Linked DNA regions of Xenopus tropicalis. The protein of the gene in region 3 interacts with the protein of the main gene of each other region in a pairwise test. Links are inferred from orthologs where the notes say so. Each region holds a gene or a part of one and is shown on either strand. Other genes may lie near its edges.

Region 1 (3,515 bases), on a different chromosome or scaffold from region 3:
ATAGAGCAATAGATTTGTGGCAGCTGGGGTCAGTGACTCCTATTTGAAAGCTGGAAGGATGTAGAAAAGGGAGGCATGCAATTCAAAAACTGTAAAAAAAAACCAATAATGAAACAATTGCAACGTTGACATGAATAGGACATTCTATAACATACTAAAAGTTAGGTGAACAACCCCTTTAATGTACAAAGTAGAAGTCACTCAAATATCACATACCAGCATGATTGTAACCTTAAAGGAGAACTAAACCCTAAAATGAATACGGCTAGAAAATGCGATACTTTATAAAATGAACTTACTGCACCAGCCTAAAGTTTCAGCATCTTAATAACAACAATGATCTAAGTCTTTACAGTTGTCACAGGAGCTCCCCATCTTGGAAAGTGTCAGTGACACTCACATGATCAGTGGGCCCTGAGAAGCTGTTGAGAAGCCAAGCTTAGGGGTTGTCACAAATTATCAAGTAGAAAATGAGGCTGGCCTGTAATATAAGCTGATGTTACAGGGCTGATTATTACTCACTGTGAGTAAGTTACTAATATGCCTTATATTGAGACATTTATATTTTGTATATACAGTAAATTATGCGGCAGTCCCTAAAGGTGGCCATACACTAAAAGAGGTCACCAAGCAAGTGTATCTTCTCCTGATATGCCCACATACAGGCCCTAGGGCCAAACAATTTAATTAAAACAGCGGGCATAGGCGCCAATAGAAAAATCAAGCCTGGCGTTCGAGATCAATCAGGGAGGCCCATCGGTGGTGCCCATACACAGGCAGATAAGCTGCTGAATTGGTCTGCCCGATACTGGCAACTGAAATTGGCCCATGCACGGCCACCTTAAAGTCAGTAAGTGACAGCAGCACAGAGCATGTGCAGGGAATCAGTAGATCAGAAGATGGGGAGCTACTGGGGCATCTTTGGAGGCACAGGTCTGCTGTGGTTGCCTTGGGCTGGACAGAAGCCCAAAACAGAATGTTCAACATTTTTAGCCTACTTCTTTAGTTTTACTTCTCCTTTAAAACTCTTCCAGTGTATACAGTATATGCCTTACATTAAGCGATCCTAGGTTTGTTCGTTGCCACTACACATCTACTTAGAAAAGTACTTAGAAAAGAGTTAAATATATGGGGTGTAATGTTGATCCCTTACTATATACACACAGACTAAAAATGCCCCTTTATGTGTCAGTGTATCTGCTGTTTAATCATTGTTCATGACACTGGTATATACAATATGCTTTTGTTTTCTAGATTGGAGAACTTGAGGCACAATGTGATGAGATAGAGAAGGAAAAAGAGAGGAACAAGGAGCTCAGCAACAGATTACAAGAACTGGAAGTTGAAATCCAAGACAAAGAAGCAGTACGTTACCTTATAACTACAGTGTCTTCACTAATCATAATATCTGTGGAACATGAACGGTCACGATGTGCAGCTTGTCAGCCTTAAAATGGAGAACAGACCTCTGTAAATGTATTGTGTTACTATAGACCAGGGCTGTCCAACTGGCGGCCCGCGGGCCGACCCCCCTCTGTGTGGCCCCCCACCTGTCTGGCTGCTTTGATGGCTTACCTTTGTGTAAGCTTTAAATGGTATCAGTACTGAGATTAACTGGCCCCCTGCATTGCTCACATCTCAGATTCAGGCTGTAATCCCCCTGTATTGTTTAAACATGTAATCACCCTGTGTTTTTCACACCTTTTAATCCCTACATTGTTCACCCCCTGCATTGTTCACACCTCAGGCTCAGGCTGAAATCACCCACATTGTTCACCCACAAATAAACCCTGCACACTACAAAAAACATATACTGAGGTGGTACTGCAATTAAAAAGTTTTTTAATATATAGTTATTGTGCAAACTGTAGGAGCAGTGCCAGCACACAGGTAGCATAGGGCAGGCAGAATATGGCACACACAGGCAGGGTAGGGAAGGCAGAGTATGGCAGGTTTTTGCTGTACTACCACCATTAATATGGGTATGGTCATGTGATAACATAGGTGTGGTTTCAAGTGGGTGTGGCTTAAAAGGGGGAGTGGTCAAACTGGCTTCCATTATCGGCCCTCCACCATGTAGGATGGAAAAATTCCGTCCCTCGGCACCACAGAAGTTGGACAGCACTGCTATAGACTATAGTACATTACTGGATACCACACAGTGCCTTAGCAAAGTTTAGCCCTCCACATATGTTGCCTTTTAGTCCACAGTGCTTGGCTCATACAGTCGGAGCTGCCCATGTGTGCCCAGTAATAGCATATCCCAGGCACCAAAGATCTATAACGTCAGCGAGGGTTAAAAAAATTACCCTCTTCACGCGAGCAGAAAAGCTGGGGACCTGGACATGAGGAAATACAATGTGTCAACCAGCCCAGGGCAGTGCCTTTTTTGTTCCTCCAGCTTATTGCACTACAACTCTAGTGGGATTCCAGGAACTGTAGTTCAGCAGCTGGAAGGGAAATGATTTAACTGAACTTATTCTAGGGCTTTACTTACCCTTTAAGGAGCAAATATTAAAATTAGAACTTGTCTTGCATTGTTCAGTGTAGTGTAATGTTTATTTTCTCTGTTCCTCTTCCATTGTGGCTTGTGCTGTACCCCAGCACTGTACAATATATGCATTAGAAATGTCACTCTCTGAGGGTTCCCTGAAAATGACAGTCAGTTGCTAAACTCCCAGAATATCTGCACAGAACAGCATAAAAATAATCATATAGCTGGGAAGTATGTCATTTGGATGAGTGACACAGGAATCATTATAATGGCACAATCGGTCCTGCTTTTAGAACAGTACAGTAAATTTATCTGTAAATCTGCCTCAGATGTGCTATTCATTGCATAGGGATTTGGGTGTTGGCATATTTTCTTTCCCCAAACCTTAGTCTGGTAAAGCAAACCAGCAATATCTTTTTCAAACATGGATTGTACCCTGTTGTTGAGCTGAGCTGTCTGCATCTCCCATTTTTAGTCAGTTAAAGGTGTGTAATTATAGGGCATTGCAAATTCATCTGGACCTAATGGGCCCATGTGGCTCTACATAATGACATATCTTCCCACATAATAAAAAGAAACTGATGTATGAATGGGCCATGTACAGGTGTAGTGTGTAAGGGACTAACCCACTGGTGATACAGATGTTTTGGTTCACAAATGAGGAAGGTTCTGCACCAAAATTCGTATCAGGGCCCTTAGGCCTCTAGCTGTGCCATTAGTCCATTCAAACATCTGCTGCTGAAATAGCCTAACTCATAAGTTCCTGCACCTTTTTACACCAAAGCTCATTGTTTTCACCTTCCCAGGCCTAATGAACATTGTGGGTTTTGGACCAGCAGGGGGTGGCAAGGGATCCATAGGCAATGCTTTCATTAGGAATTATGTTTACAAATAACTAATATTTGAAAATGTGTTATTTATTATATTGGAAATTGGCTTTGAATTCCATTTGCTTTCATTATGCACTATTTCATATTTCTGGGTAGCCATCCCCTTTACCACACTGGTGTTTTACTATGGA
Region 2 (4,202 bases), on a different chromosome or scaffold from region 3:
GATAAGGAGTGCCCAGAAACACATACTGATAAAAAGTTTTAGTATAAGTTTATGAAAAACATCTTGTGTTTACAGAGCCCTAAGATGAATTTGTGTGGCTTGGCAACATTTAGTAATACCACAATGTACTGCTGAATAGTTCTACATTACTAAACAGTATAGAAATCTCATTGTCCAAATGAGCAGGACTGTTATTTTGGGGTAAACTCATGGCAGATTGAAGCTCAGCTCCTTAGAAAACCTCTATGTACATATTTTATTGCATTTGGTGGTACACTATGGGGTGCTAAAATCTGATTGCTCAGAAAGACAGAAGGGAGATTGTAGATTGGGGGGGTCGATATTTTGTGACTACAAAGCAGAAAATAACTTCCTCCTGGATTAGAGAACTGTGCACAAAAAGTTTTAGCAGAGCCAGTGACAACTGGGGGGGGCTAGCAGGTACAGGGGAACAAGCGTGGCACTGGCTGATGTAGTAAATAAATATGTTTATGAAAAATGCCATATTTTAGAGAGGCTCTAAAATTATTTTGCTTTGGGGACAATTAACCTCTAGAAACATCAACAATGTGAGGAAAAATTGTGATTTTTTTTCAGTAGAACAAAAATCTCACCTTTATACAGCGGTCTGTTAGCAATATTTGTCCCTCCTTGAGTGTCTCTGACAAATAGCGGACAGGAAGCTCACAGGACAGAAGCGCTGGGAGGACAGACCTGTAGAAGAAAAAATTTTAAAACCAGATAGAGATATACCCTAAAATGGGAGATGGGGAGGAATCAATAAAAAAAAACAATAAAACCTGATGGAAAGAAGGATTCACCGTGCACAGTTAAAAGGGATTCTGTCATGATTTTTATGGTGTACTTTTATTACACTGTTTACATTGCATATAATTCACTCCACCATTTTAAATGATATTCTTGAACCAACAAATGTATTTTTTTAGTTGTACTATTGGTGTGTAGGCAGCCATCTCATTGCATTGTGCCTGAGTCTGAGCTTTCAGGAGGAGCCAGCACTACACAACATAACTGCTTTGGGATAAAATATTGTTTCTCTTACTTCTAGTTTCTAATACTGTAAGTGGAGGAGTCATGACTTGGGTGAGGCAGACTTGGATTTTTTCTATTGAGTGACAAGCAGCTGTCAGGGAGCTGTTTTCTTGCTACTTTTCCATTATTCTGCTGATTGTCCGTTTGGACCCCACATTACTTTTGTGAGCTGTACACAGTACAATATTCCTCTCTTTGTTTTATGCTCAAAAACTGTCAATTTTGTATTTGTACTACATTCCTGCCTTGCCCACAATTCCAAGGGCAATTACACACATTGCGACTGTAAGCTTTCTGTTGCACAAACAATTTATGGCTCTCTGGGCAAAGGAAAAACACTACTGCCTGTGAGCATGGATGCACCTTCTTGTCAGGTAAATGTATTTTGGAAAATGCTGACTGACACATCTTCCTTGGGATAAGCCCCTATTAAGTAGGGGCACCTGCTCTTCCTGGCATGGTTTTCATCTGGGTTACAAGGAGTGCATTCAGAACCTTTGGTAGGAATTCCGAGATGGAAAGGTGCAATTAGGGGGGTCACGACAGGGGTGATGCTTGTAGTTAGTTGGTGGGGTTCTTATGTATTACAAGTATTGTCATAATTGGAGAGTGGCTGGGGCAAATTAGCAGCATGATGGAGCTTGCATGGGGCATATTTTTTTAAATTTGGGCCCCCCAAAAGGGTGCGGCATCAGAAAAGTGGTTGGAGTTTGGGCAGATCAGGGATGCCCACATATAACTGGTCATGGTAATGGTCTAATTTAACCTTCATTTGGTAATTCAAATGTTGAGGTACATAACAGTTATTTAAACGAAACAAATAATAATCTAACACTACTGGATAGGAGCGAGAGACTGCACAAGGTTCCTGGTCGTCTCCTCTGCTCCTCTCAGAGCCTCCGTCTCTTTACACCATCCACACCCACTGCGCTCTCTCGTCTTAAACCTTTCTATCTCGCTGCTCCTTACCTCTGGAACTCTATCCCTGAATCCCTCCGTAGGGAACACTCACTAACTCTCTTTAAGAAAAAACTCAGCTGTTACCTTCTGGAGCACTAAGACATTATTTTGCCCAGTCCTGCGCTTAAGGGCAAATGCCCATACCTAGTGCTCTCTTACCTTCCAGTTTGTGCCTGTATGTTACCCAACCACTCAGATTGTAAGCTCTATGGGGCAGGGACCTCCTTCCTACTGTGTCTCATACCACATGGCACACACACACACACATATATATATATATATGTGTATTTATTTATTATATCACTCGTCCTCCCTGTGTGTAATTTTGTATTCTGTAAGACTGTACAGCGCTGCGTACCCTTGTGGCGCTTTATAAATAAAGTTATACATACATACATACAAGGAAACTGAGGGTCAAGCCCAGGACACAACCCTTCGAGACCTAGAAATTTTCCATAGATAATTTAGACAAATAGTATCTGCTTATTACAATTATAGTTAAAAAAATTATTTAGTGACAGATCCAATTTAACTCCTTGATGCAATACTCATATTTAGCAAACTTATACAACTGGAGAACAAGGGGTGTGTCACACAGTCCTAGACAGAGGACGTATGCAAGCTTATATAGACAACGCAGAGGTAACATCTATTCCAACAAGTCTAGCAAAGCCAGGAAGTTGAGCATAACGAGAGGCACGTGACCGGATCCTCTTACCTCCGTGCCGCTCCCGTTACGCAGAACAGAAATCTCCCGGCCGCCATCTTGGTGTTCCTTATAGCGAATTGAGCTCTCCTTTCATTGGATTCCAAAGTGCTTCGCTGCCTACGCAAGATCGCTTATGATTGGGTGTTACCCCTCTCCATAGTTATACGTCATCAGCTGACCACGGAAGGGTGGAAAGCTCTCAAAACATCACAAGATCTAAAGCTGCTGGAGGCGGTGAGAGTTCGCTGTGTACTGGAAGGATGTCGGTAGGTAACTGTATTAGAATAGGCGGTTTTTTTCAGTATATTCTTTATTCATATGACATTTTACCACATTTAAAGCTTGCAGAGAACTATTTCTTTAACTTTACTCGAAAACATACCAGGAGACTTTATTATGAGCGGCTTTACGAGTGACCTTATGAGTGAACTACTAAGATTCTTAGCTCAGCAATACAAATGAATGTGTGTGTGTGTGATGAAGTTCGGAAAGCAAACCGGACTTTTAATCATTGCTAAAGGGATCAATGGTTTTCTAGTGAGCGCTACTGTTACTAGGAGGAGCAACTTGGAAATGCCGAAGTGAATGTGAAGGCGCTGGGTCCTTAACCCCAGTGATCTGTCTCTGCAATGGACAGTTTTAATTCATTTAAAGGCGTTGCCCACCTTTGAGTTAACTTTTAATACGATGTAGAGAGTAATGTTCGGAGACAATCTGCAATTGGTCTTCTTTTTTAATTCTAGTTTATAATGATTTTACTTTTTGTTTGGCACCTCTCCAACTTGGAATTTCAGCAGTTATTTGGTTGCTAGGGTCCAAATTACCTTAGCAACCAGGGTGTGGTTTGAATGAAAGACTGATCTATGAACAGGAGAGAACCTGAATAGAAAAATAAGTAATATAAAGTAACTTTAACAATTAAACTGGAGCTTCAACAATTAAACTGGAGCTTCACAGAGCAATAGTTTTTTTTGACTCAGGGGTCAGTTGAAAGCTACAAAGAGTTTAAGGAAAAAGGCAAATCATTCAAAAACTATGAAAAACAAATAATGAAGACTAATTCAAAAGTTGCTTAGAATTAATTTAAAGGTGAATCACCCCTTTAAGGTGTATAGTTATTTCTAAGGAAACTTATGGGTGCTGAAGGTGTCACATTCAGTCTGGGGCTCCTAAGACACTTGTTAAGAAGCCATGAACAAACTTTATAAAAAAAAAAAAAAAAAAAACATTTCAGCCTTTCTAGTTTCTGCAGTCTGTGTACTACCCGGCAAGTGCCATGTAGCAGAGCTATCAAGTCTCCCAAATGAATTGGTAGTATCACAAACAATCCCGTCCAGCATGCCCTGCCTTCCCAAAAATCCTTATGAGCTCCCAAAGCTCACTGCACAGGCACAGTAAGCATTCCATGACATTACGTGCATTGTGTGTATGTGCAGTTACATCAAGCAAAAAACTTGCACTGGACTGGTTGACAGTTCTG
Region 3 (3,515 bases):
ACATGTGAGCAGGGTTGTGGGTAAGTAGTTATATTCTATTGCATATGCATATATATAATATATATGGCCAAAATTGTTGGCACCCCAGAAGTTTTTCCAGAAAATCAAGTATTTCTCACTGAAAAGTATTGCAGTAACACATGTTTTGCTATACACATGTTTATTGCCTTTGTGTGTATTGGAACAGAACAAAAAAGGGAGGTAAAAAAGCAAATTAGACATAATGTCACAAAAAACTCCAAAAATGGGCTGGACAAAATTATTGGCACCCTTAACTTAATATTTGGTTGCACACCCTTTGGAAAAAATAACTGAAATCAGTAGCTTCCTATAACCATCAATAAGCTTCTTGCACCTCTCAATGGGAATTTTGGACCACTCTTCCTTTGCAAACTGCTCCAGTTCTCTCTTATTGGAAGGGCGCCTTTTCCCAACAGCAATTTTAAGATCTCTCCATAAATGTTCAATGGGATTTAGATCTGGACTCATTGCTGGCCACTTCAGAACTCTCCAGTGCTTTGTTGCCATCCATTTCTGGGTGCTTTTTGACATATGCAAACCCAGCTTTCTGACACTGGGCTCTACAGTGCGACCCAAAATCCTTTGGAAATCCTCAGATTTCATGATGCCTTGCACACATTCAAGGCACCCAGTGCCAGAGGCAGCAAAACAACCCCAAAACATCATTGAACCTCCACCATATTGATGGTGATGTGCTTTACCAAAAAGCTCTATCTTGGTCTTATCTGTCCACAAGACGTTTTCCCAGAAGGATTGTGGCTTATTGAAATACTTTTTGGCAAACTGTAGTCTTGCTTTTTTTATGTCTCATAGCGTTTCATTTCATTTAAATGTCGACTGATAGCTTGCGCTGACACTGATGCCCCCTGAGCCTGCAGGACAGCTTGAATTTCTTCGGAACTTGTTTGGGGCTGCTTATCCACCATCCCGACTATCCTGCGTTGCAAACTTTCATCAATTTTTCTCTTCTGTCCTCGTCCAGGAAGATTAGCTACAGTGCCATGGGTTGCAAACTTCTTGATAATGTTGCACACTGTGGACAAAGGCAAATCTAGATCTCTGGAGATGGACTTTGTAACCTTGAGATTGTTGATATTTTCCCACAATTTTGGTTCTCAAGACAGTTTTCTTCTCCTCTTTCTGTTGTCCATGCTTAGTGTGGCACACACAGACACACAATGCAAAGATTAAGTCAACTTCTCTTCTTTTTATCTGTTTTCAGGTGTGATTTTTATATTGCCCACACCTGTTACTATTCCCAGGTGAGTTTAAAGGAGCATCACATGTTTGAAACAATCTTATTTATCCACAATTTTGAAAGGGTGCCAATAATTTTGTCCAGCCCATTTTTGGAGTTTTGTGTGACATTATGTCCAATTTGCTTTTTTTTCCCTCCCTTTTTTGTTCTGTTCCAATACACACAAAGGGAATAAATAAATAGATAAATAAATATATATATATTTTATTAAAATTTGGCGTATTATCTCCAAAAATGAATATTTACTATAACATCAGCAGTATACTAAAAGGTGAATAGAAGAAGTACTGGTAAATTACCTTTACATTGGTGTAAACCTTTACTCAGAGCAAAGATAATTTTCATCTTTCCACATGCAAAATTTCTTTATTTAGAGTACAAAAATGATTTTTTGGAGAAATCTCCCTGGGTTCAGGCTGGTGAACTTCCATTACAAAACAGAGCAGCCACCTTTTACATCTAATCTACACATCCTCTCATTGTTTTTTTTTTTAGTAGGTGACTTCAGCTTATTTTAATTATTTATCTCTAATTTCTATTATTTATTTAACGAGCAGGTGGCAACTTTGTATGTGGTGCAATTCTCTTCTCCCAGTGACCACAAAGCAGGTGCTTATTTTTGAATTCCTGTCTTTGAGGCAAGTTTTGGTTAAAACCCCAATATAGATACAAACTTTACATTAGAAAGTTTCTACCTTTTAGGTTTTAATTTCAAACTCAATTACAAAGGGAGTGACAGTGGTAAGATATATTGGGTTTCTGTTTCAATGATACAGGTATTCAGGTCCAGCAGTGTTGACTTCCATTTCCCTGCCATTTTACTTCTTTACAGGCCTTTAATCAGAGAGAATGGCATTGTGGAAATTGGAGTCTTGGCTGGGGGACAACAGAATGCTGCCACAGTGCTTCAGTGATGCTTGTAGCAACATCCAATGATGCAGTAAATAGCAAAGGCTGCTTATGGGCTTGAACTTTTAGCAGGTGGCAGCCAGATATTTACAGACAGTTTAAATAATGTTTGTGTATATCATTCTATCTTCCAGACTGGAAATGCCCAAAGATGAACTACCAAACCACAACTGCATAAAACACCTGCGCTCTGTGGTGCAGCAACAGCAGATACGGATAGGGGAGCTGGAAAAAGCAGCTGCTGAGAGCAAGCACCAGCTCTCTGAACAGGTAATGTCTTTGCATTCATTTTGTATACAATTTTAAGGGCTAGGACACACAGAGCATTGGCTACGCTGCTCTCAGGCTGAGAAAAGAGGATCCATTCCCTTCCACATCTCCATGTATCTGCACTGACAGGCACAGCTTCTGTCTGAGTACAGGTACACCGAGCAGAACGGAGTTTGGACTGAAAAATGGGAATGCAGGCATTTTTGGGCTGATCTCCATTCTGTGTACCTGCACTCAGGCAGAAGCTGTACTTGTCATTGCAGATACACAGAGCTGTGGAAGAAAGCAGTTTTAGTTCAAGACCATTGATCAAGCCAAGTTTTTCTCTCTGCATTCATCTGCCCCCAATTTTGAACAGTTCCACAGCTATAGAAACAGGCCACTCTTCTGGCCAAGGACAACTTCTTTCCTTATTACTAAGCAACATTGTAATGGAAAATATTTAGTGTCCTTATCTATTAAAGCATGCTGAGCATTTGTATTGTTTATTTTGATTTACTTTAATTCATACCATTTCTGTATTTTGTCAGATTTTGTTTTTAACCATATTAAAAAAGGCATAAAAACCTTGTTATACCTAAAGTTAAATAAAATAAATTATTTTTTATTTTGACCAAATGTGTCCATGTGTGCCTCTTTAACATCCACAGAAAAGGGATATCCAGTTGCTGAAAGCCTATATGAGAGCCATCCGAAGCGCCAATCCAAACCTACAGAACCTAGAAGAGACTATAGAGTACAATGAAATCCTTGAGTAAGTTTTATAGTATTAAATGCACAGTTTAGGCTTTCATATTACCTAACTAACATAGTAACCCTTCATATGCCATAATGTTTGAAATATTGGCAAATTGAATGCCACAAAGCTGTCTAGGTTTAGTTAAAAAAAGACCCTGGTTGTGACTGTGTGGTCAGAGACAAAAGGCCCATAATCTTCTATATCTGGTTTATCCGCCTTACTTAAATGGTCTTGTTTCATAGTGGCTTTAGTTTCAGGTTACATGGTGTTTAAGGGTGAAGACACACTGAGCTACTAGTAGCAGCTACTTGTCATAGC
Region 4 (4,246 bases), about 51 Mb from region 3:
TTAGCATTTAGGTTTATGGGAACAGGGATTCCTACTTGTGTCTCAAGGCAGGACTTGTTAGTAGTTCTACTTTAAAGGATACTGGTTTCTGTAATGTTTCTCTATATCTTGTAGCCATTCTAACATGTCAGCTATGGAAGGACAGAGAGAAGAACGCTCCAAAATTGCTTCAAGACCAATTTTTTCAATGCTTGTCTCATACATGTAGAGGACAGATCCAACCACCTGACTTACAGAGTCCCTTATTCTCTGCAGCGTAGACCTGTAAAATTTAGCAATTGAAGAGTTACAAAATGTAGATAATCCTTGTATTCAGGAAATACTTTTTTTCAAGTGAAAATCTGATGCCCAGTTTGGCAACCTACAATATTTACTGCCTGTGATAATGCCCAACAATGTAAATAGCATTTTGTATTAGGCCATAAACAAGTCTGTACAGATTACACACATCCAAAAACCTAGACCTTTGGCTTTCATGTTTTAACTTGCTGTGGGTATGTGATTATTTTGCAATATCCTGCTGAGAGTAAAAGGTATAAAGTGATTAAAACTAGTACTGTGCAATTAGTAGTCACAATGTAATAATTTATTGTAGGAAAATATTAAACCTATTACTGATTTGGTTAGATTTTGTGGGAACCAAAAGGTAGTGATTACACAACTGACAATCATGTACTTCACACTGAAATACAACCAACCAGCTTGAGGTTATATTGTGGGGATATAAACCTTCCATACAAAATAAATTAACCTGTAACTTGTATGCAAGTGTGAGTATCAACGCCATTTCATATCTCTTCTTATTGAGGAAGAAGAAAATTGCTGCTAAAAATATAAGAATATTTATAAAGGCAAAACCTGCCGAGTACAAAAAAATGTGCATCCTATGAGAATGTATTGTCCAAAATCCATTCTTTTAGCAGTGTATCACTTTAGAACTAACAACTGCTATATCTACTCAGCAGAGTAGATTTAAGGTAAGGGAACATGGAGCGGATACTCTTTCTTTCACCTGCAGTTTTTACCCAGGCAGAGGAAAGTGGATCCACTGTCATGCGCTCCTTCCTGTAGAACCATTAACAGGCAGTGTCTGCCTGTGTGGAGCTACACATAGCGGATATTGGCGCAGAAACACTCAAGTATGCCTATTCGTGCTGATATCCGCTCAGTGTAGCACAATACACACTGAAGCTGTGTCAGTCAATGGAAAGATATCTACATTAAGTATGACAAGCAAGTAATTCAGTGTTTTCAGAACTGATGTACATGTAAAGTGATGCTTGTATCTTATCTAAAAATTTGCATGGTGATACCAGCACCGGAAGGGTTGAACCAACAACACATTGGACTTACAACTTCTGATTTAAGATCTCCAAATTAAACTCCATAGCTGCTTGTAGTTTAAAACGAAGATGTTCTTGCAGGTTAATAAAGCTGCTCAGGGGGGTTTTCTTAAACAGTACTCTCTGGCAGGCCTGTAGCTGTTCTGCTAGATTACTTAAAGAAGTTAGGTGTGGGTTACACTCTAAAAGTGTATTATTCCATTCTTCATGCAGTGGTTCTATGGCATCAAAGGACTTTCTCAGCGATTGCTGCACGGAAACAAAGGCTGGTTTCTCAGACATCCTATAAAACGATAAAACTGGTGAAATACATGTCATAAATCTGATGCTTTGCACTTAAAATAAAACTCAAGCCAACAAATCAGTTATACAGCGTTATGAATGCAAAAACACACAACACCTTTCTAAGTATTTAAACCCTTGAAAAAGATATACTCACATTAGCCTAGTAATATTTAACTCAGTATAGTAAAATGTATGCTGAAATGTCTTAGAGAAGTAGGCATATGTTTAAACTAAGTTGCAGCAAACATTTCTTAAAGGAGACATAAATTACATAAACTTTAATCTTGTAGACAATTATGAATAATATATGGGGCTGGTTTTACTTTGGTATAAAAATTAAAACTATCTGTAAGAACTGTCCCTTTTTGGAATTCCCTATAGATCCTCTCAGGTCCCTGTCCGTGTTTCAGATGAGAGGTGGGCATGTTCTAATAGTCCCTGCCAGAAGCACAGTAAAAGGGGGAGAGCCAATCACAGCCCTGCAGTCACACAGGCAAAGACAGGCTTCAGTTCCCTATCAGGTCAGTCTAGCTGCTGATTGGTTCCTATATAGTGTGCTGAGTGCCGCTGGCCTCCCCTGAACAACCTGGGAAAGGAGGTAGCCAGAAGTGGAACAGATAAATAAAATCAATAAATCAGCCCCAAACACTACTTTTTAAAGCACATTTCTTTTATATTTAGATGAGTACAAATCATTGGCACAATATGGTTTTTCACACAATATGTCCCCTTTATTTTAAAAACAATAGGCCAGATTATGGGTACATACCCGCTGGCATTTATCCGTGCGTTTTGATGTGTCATATCATGACAACCCAAGGGCCAAATGACTTCAGAGGGAGTGGACACCAATGCTAAAATTGCTTGCAAATCTATAATAGCAGCAATTAGGCAAACATTTGTTATCAGATTTGCTCTGACTCGAAGATTTTGGCACACATGCATAATTTATATTGTTTTAAAATCGCTTTATGTTGGCAATGATCAGTAATATGTGGCACCCGATAAAATCTAAGCCATAAAGTATTGTTAACTTTAACAAAAAAAACTGCTTAATTAGTTCTACCTATTATGGGAGTGGCTTTCTAGTACTTCCAGTGTTATGGGTATCAGTTTTTTTTGTTTTATTTTAAAGCAGGGGTAGGGAACCTATGGCTCGGGAGCCAGATGTGGCTCTTTTGATGGCTGCATCTGGCTCGCTGCCAAATCTTTAATAAAAAAAAAAATAACAGGGGGTGTGGCCTGCGCTCGGCAGATAGAAGACATGTTCTATACGCCGAGCACAGGCCACGCCCTCCTCCGCATTGCATCCAGCAACCGGCATCCTTGGGACCCACCCAACCTTGCCCCGCGGCCAAACATATTATAGGGAATTACATTTTAAAATATGTGGTGTTTATGGCTCCCTCAGCCAAAAAGGTTCCCGACCCCTGCTTTAAAGGTTAAACAACCTATGGCTACCTGTGCTGCATTTTTTCTTTTATTTTTTATACATAGTTGGTAAAAAAAAATCTATAGATATGGTACAGCTGGTATTTGTTTGCTGGAAAAGTTGGACCTAGACCTAGCAGTAGTTACTGCCAGGAGTTGTAAGGAACAGAGGCATTGTTGCATGCTTGGAACAGTGATTACAGGAAAAAATAAGTATATCCACCCCTATATTAGCAGTTACCACAGTGGAAGATGTTCTACATAACACTACCAGAATAACATTAATAAATCTAAGATTATTTTTATAAGGGCGAATCATCGGCTCAAATGTATATAAAAGGTGATATATTTCAGTATTGCTTTCAATTATTTACTAAGAAAAAAGTAAGGCTATCCGTATTACATTGATTCGTGTCCTTAAACAGCATTACAAACAATGTCATATATAATGTCATATAGAACAGAAAAGGTAAAATAAAAACAGCGTCAACTTCCCAATTCAAACGCACGTATTTCACCAGACCTGGAAAAGCTGCTTAGCTTGCCCGCTATCATTAGCACAACTGCAACGTGAATACATTCACCTTTTTTTTTAAAGCCGGAAATGGAAACCTACAGCCGCACGGCATGAAGGGAATTGTAGTTTAAAGTCTTGTTATTGCTATCGAGGTGACTGGCGCGACAATTGTTTATTCCTTATTTTCCTTGGTAACAATTGCAGTTTAAGTTGGTTTAATACCATAATTGTGCATGAGAGTAGCTAACGTAAATTTTGATTTGTCGGCGCTGCTATAAAGGATATTTTATGATAAATCGCTAGAAACTACAAATCCCAAAAATATTTAAATAAGAGGGAATTATTTCCGGATCGGAGGTAACGTTCGGTGGTTTCCGGTTTATAGAGAAGGTAGATTGCTTAACATTTTGGTTCTTCTCGGTGTGTGTTTGTGAAAAGATTATAGTGCCAGCATGAATGAGGAGGATGATAGGGGCAGGAAGCGGAGACCACACAGCCCGGAGACAGTAACTATAAAACAGGAAAGGATAAGCCCCGTCAGGCAGCACCGCACCCGGCGAACTCCAAGCCCTCGAAGCAGCGATGGGGGATCCCCTCACCGGCACCAAGGGCGCAGGCGAAGCAGGTAATACCATAAAAAAACAATTCAAAATTGTGTGTGTGTGTGTGT
Region 5 (4,144 bases), on a different chromosome or scaffold from region 3:
TTGGTTGTAGCAGACAATGCCAGGCAGCAGCTGCAAGGGCAAACAAGGTTTTGAGCTGTATTAAAAGGGGTATAGATTCACGGGAGGAGGGTGTTATTTTTCCCCTTTACAGAGCGCTGGTAAGGCCCCATCTAGAATATGATGTTCAGTTTTGGTCTCCAGTGCTTAAACAGGACATTATTGAATTAGAGAGGGTCCAGAGAAGGGCAACTAAGCTGGTAAAGGGTATGGAAAGTCTCAGTTATGAAGAAAGACTGGCCAAGATGCGCTTAAGAGGTGACGTGATAACTATGTATAAATATATAAGGGGATCATATAATAACCTCTCTAATACTTTATTTACCAGTAGGGAACCCACTCCGTTTAGAAGTAGGTAGGTTCCGTTTAAATATTCGGAAAGGATTCTTATAGCTTTAAGAAGGGGTTGGATGGCTACTTAACAAGTGAGGGAATACAGGGTTATGGGAGATCCAGGGACTGGTCCGATTGCCATCTTGGAGTCAGTAAGGAATTTTTTTCCCCTGCGGCAAATTAGAGAGGCTTCAGATGGTGTTTTTTGCCTTCCTCTGGATCAACTAGAAGTTAGGCAGGTTATATATAGGCATGAACGTGATGGAAGTACGTCTTTTTTCAACCTAACTTACTATGTATGGCAGAATAGGGATTCCCCTGTACTAAGCAAAATTCAGCGGGAACAGCCTCCTAAGGCATGAGAGGCTGCTAGGCTGCTTAACGTGCTGCCCTACCTGATTACGGTTGCCAAAAGGCAATGATTTTGCCAGGCTTGGTGCCACAGTGATTATTAGGTAAATGATATAGGGCTAGAATCAAGTGTATGACCCTAATAGCACAGTGGTGACACCCACTGGCACTAAATCAGGCCTATGAGGACCTCCCTCCACCAAACATGTATTTGCCTTTTCCCTTCTCTGGTTCTGACTGTTGAAACAATGTAGCAAAAGTTAAGTGTTAGTCAGTTGGCTTCTGCTACACTGTTTAAGGAGTCAGAATCAGCAATGTCGAGAGGAGAAACAGCCAGGCCTATACTGCTTCTAACAGGATTACATAAAAAATAATTTTCCAACCCCCTGTAATTAATATATCTATATATGTATCAGTATGAGCTACCCGCCCCGCTAGCCAGGCTACTTACTAACTAACCCCTGGCAGGATGGACTCTTCCGATTCCCCCCAACCCCGGCAGTCTCACATTTCAGTCCTAATATGAAACAATTTACAGCATTTGCCGGCACGGCTCACGGCTCATTAGCTAATTGGCGAGCGCCCTCTGCTGTCCTACATAACGCATCGCCATCTCCTTCATTCTGGTGCGCCTGCGCCTACAGCACGTCCAACAACCACGCCCACTCGCTGAGGAGCTCTGTGTTCCGTATTCAGCAGAGCAGCTTCCGGCGGGGCGTAGGTAAGTGGGAGATGTTTGTGTATGTTGCATGGGGCGCATAGATGTCATAGTTGTGACTTAAAATAGTCCCAAAATGTTTGAATGTGATCGCCATCAAGTCAAAACGCAGAAATCCTTATTTTGTTGTGAGCCCAGTGCAGGGCCAGGGACCGTGTGAGGGCTTTAGGCTATGTGCTACTTAGTTATAATGCAGTGTTATGGTTATGCTATTTGACCTTACATTAGCCTTCTCTGGGTTTCTAATAATGTGGAGGTGGGAAGAGGAAACAGCCCTATGACTGACTCACACCTGCCTGTGTTTTTTTCTGTACTGAAGGACCAGGCAGCAGTTCTGCTGGTGGTGGAAGATTGAGACTCTCTTGCCACTATGCCATTCCTCCATGGCTTTCGGAGGATTATATTCGAGTACCAGCCTTTGGTGGATGAGATCCTGGGGGCTCTGGGTATTCAGGACCCTGAACAGCCGGTGGCGGCAGACACCAGAAGCAGGTATTGGAGCCTTATCATTAGTAAGCGCTTAGAGTACCATGCTATTGGTGGCCTGGAATCACGTGTATTTTCTGCTTTTAGTTTCCTGGTTGGAGAGAGTGAGGAGTTCCTGGCGCTGAATGAGTTACTGGAGAGGCATTCTCAGTCTTCCTTTTACAAGGAGGGAGTCAGTTACTCGCTGCTGAAGGTGGCCGAGCTGGGGATGGTTCCGTCGGCCAAAATCCTCCTGCAGTTTGGGGCAGATCTCAGCTTTGAGGGTAGGTATGGTGAGCTCCTAATAAACTATGTTTCTAGTTAGTTTAAAGGTGGCCAAGGTTTGGTTGGATGATTCCAATGATTTTGAGCATGTTGACCGACCAAGTGGGACAGTCAGACCTTAGAACCTGACATTAGGGCAATTAGATATTGTGGAGGAAATAAGAAGGGGCTGATAGAAACTGTCACAGCTTGGGGGCCCATAGGGAGACTCTGGAACTGTGGAAGCCAGTCCGACCCTGGATCCGCAGCTCCTCTTCACTTTCTGCAGTTCTGATTGGTTGGGTTGGTGGCTTGAACAAAAGGAATGTTAGATTGTGGCCATGTGTATGTATGGCCACCAGTATGTTATGAATCTGTTTATCAGGCTGTGGCTTGTGTGCTGCTAATGGGTTGGCCAAGTCACTTTCAGCCAATCTAGAGTGGCTTTGCAGCACCTTTTGCATTTAGCTCACCAGCTTTGGCCCATGGTGCAGAGGATATAGTAGCTGTAGCGCTTAAGTAACTCTCACTTGCAATGTTTCCCTCACCAGATCCGGTGACCTACTACACGGCGCTACACATTGCGGTACTGAGAAACCAGCCAGAAATGGTGGAGCTGTTGGTGCAGAGCGGAGCTGATATTAACAAGAGGGACAGGGTAAGGATCAAGTTTCAGCTGTATTCTGGTGTCCTGCAGTGGTTTGGTACCTGCGGGTAGGTTTTTCAGATGTAGTTATAGATGCGGGTCAGGTTGTGGGCGACCTATAGTCCTTATATTATCTATATTTTACCCCTTTAAACTTTTTCTTAAACTTCTACCCCCACCCACTTTTGATGATGTCACTTCCAGTTTAAAGGTGGTCAGCAAGTCACAGATCTGGTTAGGTAGCAGGTCCAAGCAGGTTAAAATGTGGGTTTGGGTTGCAGGTTGTGGGCTGAGGGACCGAATATCAAAAATGAGTTCTTGCACAGGCCTCTATCCTGGTGGCCTGTACCCTACTGGAAATACTCAGCATGTTTCTATACCTTATGCCAGGCCCTTAAGGGAATCCTATCCCCTCAGGCAAAGCTGATCTCTCCAGTTCTGGGTTCTGCATTCCACCAATGCACAGTGACCTGGGAGAGGCACAAAACTCTGATAGGCTGGCTTATCATTGTAAACAATTTCTTCTGCTGCTCACTACCAACTTACTTGGCAAAAACCCATTGTGTGAGACAAGGTGATCTAGAAGTGCAGTGTCACATAATTTACCTTTTCTTGTATTTTATCCTCCTGTATATACAGATCCATGAAAGCAGTCCATTGGACTTGGCTAGTGAAGAACCAGAGCGACTGCCGTGCCTGCAACGCCTGCTGGAGCTCAGCGCTGATGTAAATGCAGCTGACAAAAATGGTAAGTGGATTTAGGGGTTTAAGCTGGGTTTTACCCCTCCCTTAGCAGGAATGACAGGGACCTTGTATTCGGGAATGAATACCGCCTTAATAAACGGGAAGTCACATTGTATGTTAAACGGATTATTATGCAGGGAAGACGGCGTTATTACACGCACTGGCCAGCAGTGATGGCGTTCAGATCCATAACATAGAAAACATCCGTCTGCTGCTCGAAGGAGGTGAGTGTGTTCCTTCCTTGTGTCAGTCTGTCTGTGCTCTGAGATCATGGAATATTCCACTGTGGCCCAAATGATCACTACAGATTCCTTGTTCCAACCGTGCCTGGAGGCAGTGGTACAGACGCTGGTAAGAGAGTAGGCAGCATATTGACCCCTTATTAATCGCATCATATGAGTACTGGATTAGAACTTTTCTCTGGCGTTTGCCTGACTGGTCCGCATAGGCCCATAGTATAGTATTTGAACCGTTTTTGGTCCAAGCCTTTAAGGGGGAGCTCACCTTCCAAACACTTAGTTTAGCTCCTTGGAAAACACCAAAGGTGACCTACCCCGTTAAGAATAGTTCAGTGCAACACATATATAATGTGTATTGGGTCAGTA

The links.
Region 1: the proteins of rnf41 (region 3) and homer2 interact in binary tests that used the Homo sapiens proteins (3 or more experiments, as listed by UniProt). The link is inferred for Xenopus tropicalis from reciprocal best matches to the Homo sapiens genes RNF41 and HOMER2.
Region 2: the proteins of rnf41 (region 3) and isca2 interact in binary tests that used the Homo sapiens proteins (3 or more experiments, as listed by UniProt). The link is inferred for Xenopus tropicalis from reciprocal best matches to the Homo sapiens genes RNF41 and ISCA2.
Region 4: the proteins of rnf41 (region 3) and c1orf109 interact in binary tests that used the Homo sapiens proteins (3 or more experiments, as listed by UniProt). The two-hybrid records come from large-scale screens. The link is inferred for Xenopus tropicalis from reciprocal best matches to the Homo sapiens genes RNF41 and AIRIM.
Region 5: the proteins of rnf41 (region 3) and asb6 interact in binary tests that used the Homo sapiens proteins (3 or more experiments, as listed by UniProt). The link is inferred for Xenopus tropicalis from reciprocal best matches to the Homo sapiens genes RNF41 and ASB6.

The regions. Positions count from the first base shown.
Region 1 is NC_030679.2:105,307,810-105,311,324, reverse strand, and holds part of homer2 (homer protein homolog 2), read left to right. Parts: intron 1-1,254; coding exon 1,255-1,365; intron 1,366-3,515. UniProt on the Homo sapiens protein: Postsynaptic density scaffolding protein. Binds and cross-links cytoplasmic regions of GRM1, GRM5, ITPR1, DNM3, RYR1, RYR2, SHANK1 and SHANK3.
Region 2 is NC_030684.2:82,073,832-82,078,033, forward strand, and holds the start of isca2 (iron-sulfur cluster assembly 2 homolog, mitochondrial), read right to left. Parts: upstream 2,813-4,202; 5' UTR 2,779-2,812; coding exon 2,732-2,778; exon of another isoform or gene 2,689-2,731; intron 715-2,688; coding exon 615-714; intron 1-614. Other genes in the region: npc2 (NPC intracellular cholesterol transporter 2), read left to right, coding at 2,983-2,988. UniProt on the Homo sapiens protein: Involved in the maturation of mitochondrial 4Fe-4S proteins functioning late in the iron-sulfur cluster assembly pathway. May be involved in the binding of an intermediate of Fe/S cluster assembly.
Region 3 is NC_030678.2:137,453,973-137,457,487, forward strand, and holds part of rnf41 (E3 ubiquitin-protein ligase NRDP1), read left to right. Parts: coding exon 1-20; intron 21-2,322; coding exon 2,323-2,458; intron 2,459-3,108; coding exon 3,109-3,212; intron 3,213-3,515. UniProt on the Homo sapiens protein: Acts as E3 ubiquitin-protein ligase and regulates the degradation of target proteins. Polyubiquitinates MYD88. Negatively regulates MYD88-dependent production of pro-inflammatory cytokines.
Region 4 is NC_030678.2:86,153,971-86,158,216, reverse strand, and holds the start of c1orf109 (uncharacterized protein C1orf109 homolog), read right to left. Parts: upstream 2,816-4,246; 5' UTR 2,574-2,815; coding exon 2,398-2,573; intron 1,627-2,397; coding exon 1,354-1,626; intron 263-1,353; coding exon 83-262; coding exon of another isoform or gene 67-82; exon of another isoform or gene 36-66; intron 1-35. UniProt on the Homo sapiens protein: Part of the 55LCC heterohexameric ATPase complex which is chromatin-associated and promotes replisome proteostasis to maintain replication fork progression and genome stability.
Region 5 is NC_030684.2:22,271,564-22,275,707, reverse strand, and holds the start of asb6 (ankyrin repeat and SOCS box protein 6), read left to right. Parts: upstream 1-1,342; 5' UTR 1,343-1,423; intron 1,424-1,739; 5' UTR 1,740-1,790; coding exon 1,791-1,912; intron 1,913-1,993; coding exon 1,994-2,169; intron 2,170-2,700; coding exon 2,701-2,807; intron 2,808-3,434; coding exon 3,435-3,543; intron 3,544-3,676; coding exon 3,677-3,763; intron 3,764-4,144. UniProt on the Homo sapiens protein: Probable substrate-recognition component of a SCF-like ECS (Elongin-Cullin-SOCS-box protein) E3 ubiquitin-protein ligase complex which mediates the ubiquitination and subsequent proteasomal degradation of target proteins.